Canis lupus familiaris: one gene and its partner. The protein of the gene in region 1 purifies or fractionates together with the protein of each later gene. This does not show direct contact. Links are inferred from orthologs where the notes say so. Each region holds a gene or a part of one and is shown on either strand. Other genes may lie near its edges.

Region 1 (5,272 bases):
CTCCTAGAATTTTAAAGAAAAAAGCACGGGGCACCTGGGTGGTTCAGTTGGTTGAGCAGCTGGCTCTTGAATTCAGCTCAGGTCATGATCTCAGGTTCCTGGGACTGAGTTTCATGCTCAGAGGGGAGTCTGCTTGGGCTTCTCTCTCCCTCTTCCCACCCCCTAAAATAAGTAAACAAATCTTAAAAAACAAAAACAAACAAACAAAAAAACAAAAAAAAAGGCAGACCAAAGATAGAACCTAAGGGGCCACCTATTTTAGGGAACAGTTAAGAGTTGGAGGAGTGAGAAAATTAGCAAGTACCAGTGCTGGAGAAAACAAACAAACAAACAAACAAACAAACAAAAAGAATTAAGAACCCAGTGGTATTAGTATCACAATATTACAGAGGAGAGGGAAGAACCCAGAAGAATGCATCAGATTTTGGCCTTTTAAGAATGCAGCTTCAGTGTGATGATAACAAAAATCAGATTGCAGGTATAATGGAGGTGGTCTACTGCAGGTGGTCAGGAAGTAGAATCAAAATGGAGAGGATTCAAAATGTTAAGGGGTAGGGGGATCCCTGGGTGGCTCAGCGGTTTAGCACCTGCCTTAGGCCCAGGGTGTGATCGTGGGGTCCCGGGATCGAGTCCCATGTAAGGCTCCCTGCATGGAGCCTGCTTCTCCCTCTGCCTGTGTCTCTCATGAATAAATTAAAAAAATTTTAAATAAAATGTTTAAAAAAATGTTAAGGGGTAAAGATATGAAAAAGGGATGGGAGTTTGATGAGGAGACATAAGTGGAAAAAAAAAAGTATGAGATGGACAGACAAGAATAAGAATATACATGAATGGAAGGATCCAGGGAGAGAGAGAAGATACGAGAGAAAAAGGGCATTAATGGAAGAAATAGGGGAAGAAAGAATAATAAAAGACCACAGACTGAAAAGGAATACCTCCTACTCAGATGAGAGGATGGGTGCATATGCAGAAAGACTGAGGAGAAAGGAGGAAATTGTGTGTCATTGGGGGGACAGCGAAGGGTACATAAGGAATGGTTTCAAACTTTTCAGTAAAGGAGGGGGCTTGGAGTCTACAAAGAAGGCGTTAGAGGGTTTGAGAACAAAAATTATTTTTAGTAGAACAGCAGGATTTATTAGGGGCTTCATATAATTCAGATACATAAAATGAGAGGTGGGCAGCCCCGGTGGCACAGCGGTTTAGGGCCGCCTGCAGCCCAGGGCGTGATCCTGGAGTCCCACGTCAGGCCTCAAGTCCCACGTCAGGCTCTCTGCATGGAGCCTGCTTCTCCCTCTGCCTGTGTCTCTGCCTCTCATTCTCTCTCTGTGTTTCTATGAATAAATAAATAAAATCTTTAAAAAAATAAATAAAATAAAATAAAATAAAATAAAATAAAATAAAATGAAATAAAATAAAATGAGAGGTGGGGGCAAAAGGGCATCCACAGACAACTAAAATTGAATTTTTCATTACATATTACAGGTGGATTTGTGCAATTGTTATTTATATACAAATACAGTCCAATTCACACTACATTTTCTTTCAATAGCAAAATCACTAATTTGGATTTATTTACTGATTTGTTTTTAAAGATTTTATTTATTTATTTAACTGAGAAAGAGAGCACAAGCAGGGGGGAACAGCAGGCAGAGGGAGAGGAGCAGCAGGCTCCGCTGAGCAGAGAGCCCCATGTGGGGCTGGATCCCAGAACTCTGGGATCATGACCTGAGCCAAAGGCAAACACCTAACGGATTGAGCCATCCAGGCGCCCCACTAATTTGGACTTAAAGAATGATTTCAGACAACGAAGAGAGTATGATCACAGACTCACATTTTATTATTTTTTTAAAAATTGTATTTTGAAGTACTCTCTAAGTAACCCAAAGTGGGGCTGACCTCACAACTCTGAGACCAAGAGTCACCTGCTCTACTGACAGAGGCAGGCAGGCGCCCCAGGGACTCACTTCTTAAATTTGCATACATAATAACCGTGATTGTTGTAACTTGTTTGGAACTGTGTAAACCACTTTTGCAGCAATTATAAGTTAATGAGACAGACCACAGGATTTTAAAGGATTAGAAAATGTTGCTTGAGGAGTAATTCACAGAAGAGAGCTTAGAAAGGGACAGAGAGGAGTCTTTCTTTTGCGCAGGACCGAACTCTTCTTTAGAACAACGATGGGGAGAAAAGGGAGGTCTTTTTAGTACAAGTAAGAGAAAACCGTCGAACAGAAAAATAAGTTTGAAGTGATTCAGCCTTTCCAGAAAAGTCAATACCTTTGTCTGAAAGTGCTGAAGAACCTGACGGTAAAAGGATATTGCAAATGGCTACACAGCATAAAACCTGCGTTTACTGCCAATTAAGTCCAACCGCTGCTATCTTTTAAAACGTTCGTTTCTTAACGAATCCTTTCTCTACTCTCATTCGTCTACCAGTAACAAGCTGGTACTTCGATATATATTGCAGGTGGGAAAGAGTGGACGTGGGGAGGGGCAACTCTGGCGTCTGGGTCTTGGCAGCCGCGTCCCTCCAAAGCAGGAGTGAATTCTACAGCTTGTGGCTTATCGGCCCACGGGCTGGTGGAGGCTGCGAGACGCAGGAGAGAGGCAGGCGGCTAGGAGGTGGACAAATGGAGTGCCTGAGGCTCTTCACTCACGTGGAGCATGTCAACGCCGAACAGCCAGAAGCGTGCTAAAAACACTCCCCCCGCCCCAGACTCCTTCTACGAGCTCCCCCTGAAGAGGTGTCCGCCCGGGAGGAAGGATCTCACCCGACTTCACGCAGAGGAGATGAGCTACTCACTGTCGATGTCCTCTATGAGGCTGGCGGTACCGGGCATATAGTTCATTTTGAGCTGAGATAAGGCTGCAGAGTATAGCGGCGGCGGGCCAGTGCGTCCAACACCTCCTTCTTTCTGACCGCAGTCGCCGCCTCGGCGGGACCGGGACAGGAACCCGGACCAGGAGCAGCACGTCCGCCCCGGCTTTCAGAAGCCGGGGCCTGCCGGAAACGCCTCCATATTATTCCCACCCACTTCCGGTATCACGTGCCCGTCCTCCGGAAGAGGCGGGACTGGCGCGGTCCCGGGACACCCATTCCCCGCCCCCGGTAAAAGGGGAAGAGGAAGCTAGATTGACTAGATGGTAGGGAAAACGTAGTCTCCCTTTTAAGAAACGCAGGGCTGCAGCTCGTCCTCCAGCTTCCCAGACAGCCGCCCCCCGCCTCCCCCGAGGCACGGACCTCCGTCCCACGACTCTCGGGACTCGCCGCCGAAGGGGCGGGCCCGAGCCAGGATTGGCTGCTGTCGGCCGACCCCTCTCCCTGCTCTCCAGTTCCTCTCGTCGGCGGGCGCTTGCGCCATGGGCTGGCCGTGGGGGGCGGGAAGCGCTGCGGGGCATTAGAGCCCATGTCGGCCTTGAGGCGCTCGGGCTACGGCCCCAGCGACGGTCCTTCGTATGGCCGCTACTACGGGCCGGGCGGGGGAGACGTGCCCATGCACCCGCCTCCGCCCTCGTATCCTCCTCGCCCTGAACCTCCCCAGCCTCCCATTTCCTGGCGGGTGCGCGGGGGCGGCCCTGCTGAGACCACCTGGCCGGGAGAAGGCGGAGGAGGGGATGGCTACTACGCCTCTGCAGGCGCCTGGTCAGAGAGCGGTCGAGCTGGAGGAAGCCACCAGGTAAGCTTCGGGCCATCTGTCCCAGGGGGGTTCGATAAGGGGAGTCTTTGGAGGGTGAGGGCCGCCGGGGTTGATAAGCCTCTGGAGTTCGTAATGGATTGGGTTTCATGTTTATTTTGCTTATGGGGGGTGCGTTGGAGAGACAGACGGGGTTTGTGGCTGGAGGGATATGCTTGTGTTCTCTGCGTCTCCTTCTTCGACCATAATAAATGTGTCTGCTACCATTAAAAAAAAAAAAGAAGAAGAAGAAAGATCCTCCGCTGACTTGATAAGCCGAGTAGCAAGGTGCGGAATCTCTCGCCTTGGGTTGACGTTGGGCTGGAAAGCTTTTGGAGCTCTAACAATTTATCCTGCGTGGCTCATATGGCCGGCTCTTCCCGAGAAGGGAGGTGGCTGCAGCCCCCGCTGCCACTCAGCAACCCCTCCCGACGGGAAAGAACCCTGCATGCAGGAGGAGGAGGGATCGGGCATTTAGCCCTTTGCCCCTAACGCTTTGTCCGGGGTTAACTCACCAGTAATCAATGTTGGAAAGCACCTTTACTTGGATTGTTAAGTTACGTTGCGGTTGCGACGTAAATGCCATTACAACCTCTCTCTTTTATGATTTAATAGTTGGCCCCTGAGAGGTTAACTCACTTGGGCAGTAGAGGTCTCCCTGGGTTTTTGAAGGTTCACTTTATTGCCACTTGGTTTTTTAGGAAGGACCTACATTAGTGCCTGTTTTTACTAACTGCAAGGAATCTGGAGAGGAGTTTGGCTTTTAGGAAAGAAGCTGAAAAGTGAGAATAGCTTCAGTGTTTGTTTTGCAGCAAGCAGTAGTAGAGGCAGTGCGCAACTGGGCAGTAAGAGTGGCACCGCCAATCTCCTTCCCTGGGAACTACACTCAGCTTCTCAGCATCACACTGCCATTACTCTGAACTGTGTCTATGAGCCTCTGGGCTTTATCTCCATTTATTTTGTGCGTTTGTTGGCAAGATATGTCCTAAGGTATCAGAAAAGCCTAAGAAAGGTTATTTGAGGAGCCTGGGAATGCTGAAACATTTTTCATAAAAATTAATGGTAATTGCTTCCCCCCCCCCCTTTATGCCATTTTGGCTTTACAGAAGATTTCATAGGAATGTTCTATTTTCAGATAGCAGGGGAAACCTCTACAGTCGGACTTATAACATTTTACTCCTTGTGTTCCTGTGGGAAATATACTTCTCTTTTGTTAATTAAGTATTTTTAGCAGTGAATTATTATGTGGTTGAGGGGAGCACACCTCTCTTTCCATTCAGTAATTAGAACATCTTCATGGGTTGAAAATGTAGTAGTGAAATGCCCATATATTGCTGGTAGGGATATAAAATGGTTCATTGCTTTGGAAAGTAGCTTGGCAGTTCCTCAGAACGTTAAGCATAGAGTTAGTATATTACTCAGCAAGTTTGCTTTTAGATATGTACCCAGGAGAACTGAAAACATGTCTACATAAAGACTTGCATGTTTTTAAGAACATCAAGCATGCTCATGGCAACATTATTCAGAATAGCCAAAAAGTGGAAATAACCCAAATGGCCATCAGCTGATGAATAGATAAAATATGATAAATTTCATTT
Region 2 (3,619 bases), on another chromosome or scaffold:
AACAGGGACACCAGGTTTGTGGGCATAGAGATGGGCTTGGCCAGGGCTGCTTGGGGAATCCGCAGAAGTTCCCGGGTTGCCATGAACATCACCTCCGTCCTGAAAGGAAAACCATTAAGAGCAGATGAGAACATGAGGAGAAGAACAAAGGGAGCACCTTAAAGAATGTGAAGGAAGAAATGCAGCCTGGACTGACCACTGGTTGTTCTGTGTTGATTCTGTGGCAGGGTCTGAACTCTGCAGGTCTTCCCCACGGCTCAGGACGACGAGGAGCAGTGACAGGCCAAACTACAGGAGACAGAGGGAATCCCACTCAGCACCGCACCCAATCCTCCAGCACCACGGACAGGGTCCCAGCATCAGACCCGGAGCAGCACTGCATCAAGGTGGCCCTACCGCTGTGCTGTGGGATTGGCAGACTGGGGCAGCCGTGAGCTGGGACGCTGCGTCTTCCTCCTGCCTCCACTTCAGCAGAGCAGTGACGGCACCATCAACGAAAGGGCCAAGCATCCTCCCTGCTTCCCCACCCCAAAGTCAGATGAAAAGGTAATTTTTCTCTGCCACAGATAACATGGGACTTAGTGTTTCTTTTACTAAAACAAATGGATTTAAAAAGAAAGTCAAACTCTGATACAGAAAACTAAAAGTTCACAGAAAAAGAAAAAAAACATTTAATAGATGAAGATATTTTGAATAAAGACAAAAGATGTGAAGACCAGTTGGAAAATGTAAACAGAGAGGTCACTGAAATGATGAGGGTATGAAAAGCTTTCCTTGAGTCTCCTGAGAAAGTTTCCTGAACAAAGGACACACCTGCTGGGCCAACAGAGGCAGAGAAGGACTCCGATACATCACGTGTCTGGGACGGTTAAGATTTAACAACCTGCCGCAGAGACTGAAGATATGCCCGATTCAGTAGGCAGTATCGGTGGGACACGCATGGTCAAGGGGCACAGAGTGGAATACGAACAGGAACAAGGGGCAGGAAATAACATATATGGAATCACAGAGACAGGGGTCTGAAGGGAACCCCGGTTCCCGAGCTCGCCTCCCAGAGAACCCTCAGGTCACCGTCAGAGAACAACACTGGGATACATGAACCATCTCCTGTCTGACCACATGGTTTTCTGCTGCCCTTATCGATACTAAAGCTCAGAGACCACGCACCATGGGAGGCCCACAGCCTGTTACCTCCCAGCCCCTGCTGTACCTGCCACCCTGGAGTCCTGCCCTGACAGGGTTCCAGATGCCGGGGGGGAAAGGGCCTCGACACTCCCCATTCCACTGTGCTTGCACACATGCCCACCGGGACAAAGGCAGCACACTGAACCATCACAGCGCTGAGCTCATCGGAGCAACAGAGCAACAGGACTGCTCTGAATCGTCACCTCCCCGTACAGCCGTGAAGTGAAACTGTGCTCAGCGTCACAAACCTAGCGTGGGTAGGAAACAGAAAGCTGTCCAGAAAGTTCATGTCTCCTCTTCTGTGTTACACTCCCCCTGGGAGCCTGATGTGTTTTCTTCCTCGTGTTCGAATTAGGATTTTACCTGAGATCACAACAGTGTGAACTAAGAGGTTTCCCAGCCTTCTCTGCAGTTCCATGTGGCAAGTGAGGAAACCCTGGCCACTGAGATTAAGTAGAAGTCGCTGGTCAGAACTCCTGGAAAAGGTGCCAGCAAGGCAGCCAGCTCTCTGCACGCACCTTCCTGACACAGTGGAGCTGGAGTGGTCCTGAGCGTGGCAGCCACTGCTTAGGCTGCAGAGCAGGAAACCTGGGGGGCCTGCACCCCTGATGCCAGGTGGACACTGTGCCCAAGCTACTCTATGTGAGATACAGAAAATCCTATTTTGTTGACACTAGGAGCTTAACATAACTCCTGACTGAAAGAAGCTTCTAAGATTGATTTATTTTAGAGATAGAGAAAGAGCGAGAGAGTGTGCGTGGGGCAGAGGATGGGGACTGCGGCAGACCATGTGAGTGCAGAACCTGACACGGGGCTCGATCTCACAACCCTGAGATCACGACCTGAGCTGAAACCCAGAGTTGGCTGCATAACCTATGGAGCCACTCAGGCACCCCTGAAAGCAGCACCAACATGTGTAACTGAAATCTAGAAGGACAGGAGCACCTTGTTCTGGAGCACAGCAGCGAGGTGAGGGTTGGAGGGTGCTGGTGCAGCTGCGCTCTGAGGTAGGTTCATGAGCTGTTGCAGAAGGCTGGTGACAGTCACTGACGGAAGGTGATACAGGAGCAGAGAGAAGGGATTCAGTAAGCATGGCAGCACCTATGAAAAATAAAGAAAAGTGTTACATCCTGGCAGCTATGGCTTCATGAGCCTGTGTCAGCAGGCGCGGACGGGAGAGTGCTCAGCAGCACTTGGACAGCCTCAGGCAGATTTACCACAAAAGGGCTGACATGTCTAGCAGGTACCACCAGAGTCTCAACAGTGGGTTCTGAGATGTCTATGGACAAATTTTAAAGCTCAATTTGCACAGGAAACAGGATTCGTATCCACCAAGGGTGTAAAATCACTTCTCAAACAGCATGACTCATGGTAACACATTGGTACTTTAACCCATTCCACAAACACTTCCATGCCTACCATGTGCCAGGCACCGGGGCCCCCTGTGAAATGGTAAACAGGACAGACCTGCAGGCATCTAAGGTTGCGTGGGGAGTCACAAATAAACCGGCAAATTCAATATACCATGAGGAGGACTCTAAGACACATAAGTTCTGAGTGCCGTGGAACTATCCAGAAGTGTTTTCAGATTTAATTAGATCTTGTCTGATCTTTATAAAGCTCAACAGGAAGATAGAGAAATGATAATCTAATTTTTCAGATTAGACAAGCCAGGCCAAGCGAGCAGAAGCTCAGTGCTGAGAGTTCCATAGCTAGAAGAGACCCAGAATCCAAGGCTGTTGAATTCTGGCCTGTGAGTCATTCAGTTCTTTTAGCCACAAGGCCCAGGTGGCAGAGGTCAACAGAACCAGGTTCTAACACAGGAGAGGAACCAGGGTGCTTCTAGCACTCACTGCCCATGTATAAAAAGTGACGGCATTCAAGATGGAGAGTGGACTTTCTGTTACCTACTACTCTGAGTACACAATGCTTTAACAACAAAAGCAGTTTTAATCATACATAAAAGTGTAAAGAGTACGATGAAATCTGTGTGCCCATCACTCAGCTTCAACAATTAAATCATCAACATTCATATATGTACTATGGAATATTACTCAGCCATCAGAAATAAATACCCACCATTTGCTTCAATGTACGTGGATGGAACTGAAGGATTATTATGCTGAGTGAAGTAAGTCAATCGGAGAAGGACAAACATCATATGGTTTCACTCATATGGGGAATATAAGAAATAGTGAAAGGGTGAAATTCCCTGGGAATTAAATAGTGAAAGGGACGCCTGGGTGGCTTTGCGCTTGAGCGTCTGCCTTTGGCCCAGGGTGTGATCCTGGGGTCCCGGGATTGAGTCCCACATCGGGCTCCTTGCATGGAGCCTGCTTCTCCCTCTGCCTACGTCTCTGTCCCTCTTTTTGTGTCTCTCATGAATAAATAAAATCTTTTAAGAAAAAAAAAAAAAAAGAAATAATGAAAGGGA

Evidence for each region.
Region 2: the proteins of LSM1 (region 1) and PATL1 purify together in Homo sapiens (co-immunoprecipitation; 3 studies listed by BioGRID and IntAct, with this or other methods). This does not show direct contact. The link is inferred for Canis lupus familiaris from reciprocal best matches to the Homo sapiens genes LSM1 and PATL1.

What each region holds. Positions count from the first base shown.
Region 1 is NC_049237.1:28,039,919-28,045,190, reverse strand, and holds the start of LSM1 (U6 snRNA-associated Sm-like protein LSm1), read right to left. Parts: upstream 3,233-5,272; 5' UTR 3,145-3,232; coding exon of another isoform or gene 3,142-3,144; 5' UTR 2,850-3,141; coding exon 2,804-2,849; exon of another isoform or gene 2,225-2,803; intron 1-2,224. Other genes in the region: BAG4 (BAG family molecular chaperone regulator 4), read left to right, coding at 3,408-3,677. UniProt on the Homo sapiens protein: Plays a role in the degradation of histone mRNAs, the only eukaryotic mRNAs that are not polyadenylated. Probably also part of an LSm subunits-containing complex involved in the general process of mRNA degradation.
Region 2 is NC_049239.1:37,567,318-37,570,936, reverse strand, and holds part of PATL1 (protein PAT1 homolog 1), read right to left. Parts: intron 2,287-3,619; coding exon 2,131-2,286; intron 289-2,130; coding exon 197-288; intron 100-196; coding exon 1-99. UniProt on the Homo sapiens protein: RNA-binding protein involved in deadenylation-dependent decapping of mRNAs, leading to the degradation of mRNAs. Acts as a scaffold protein that connects deadenylation and decapping machinery.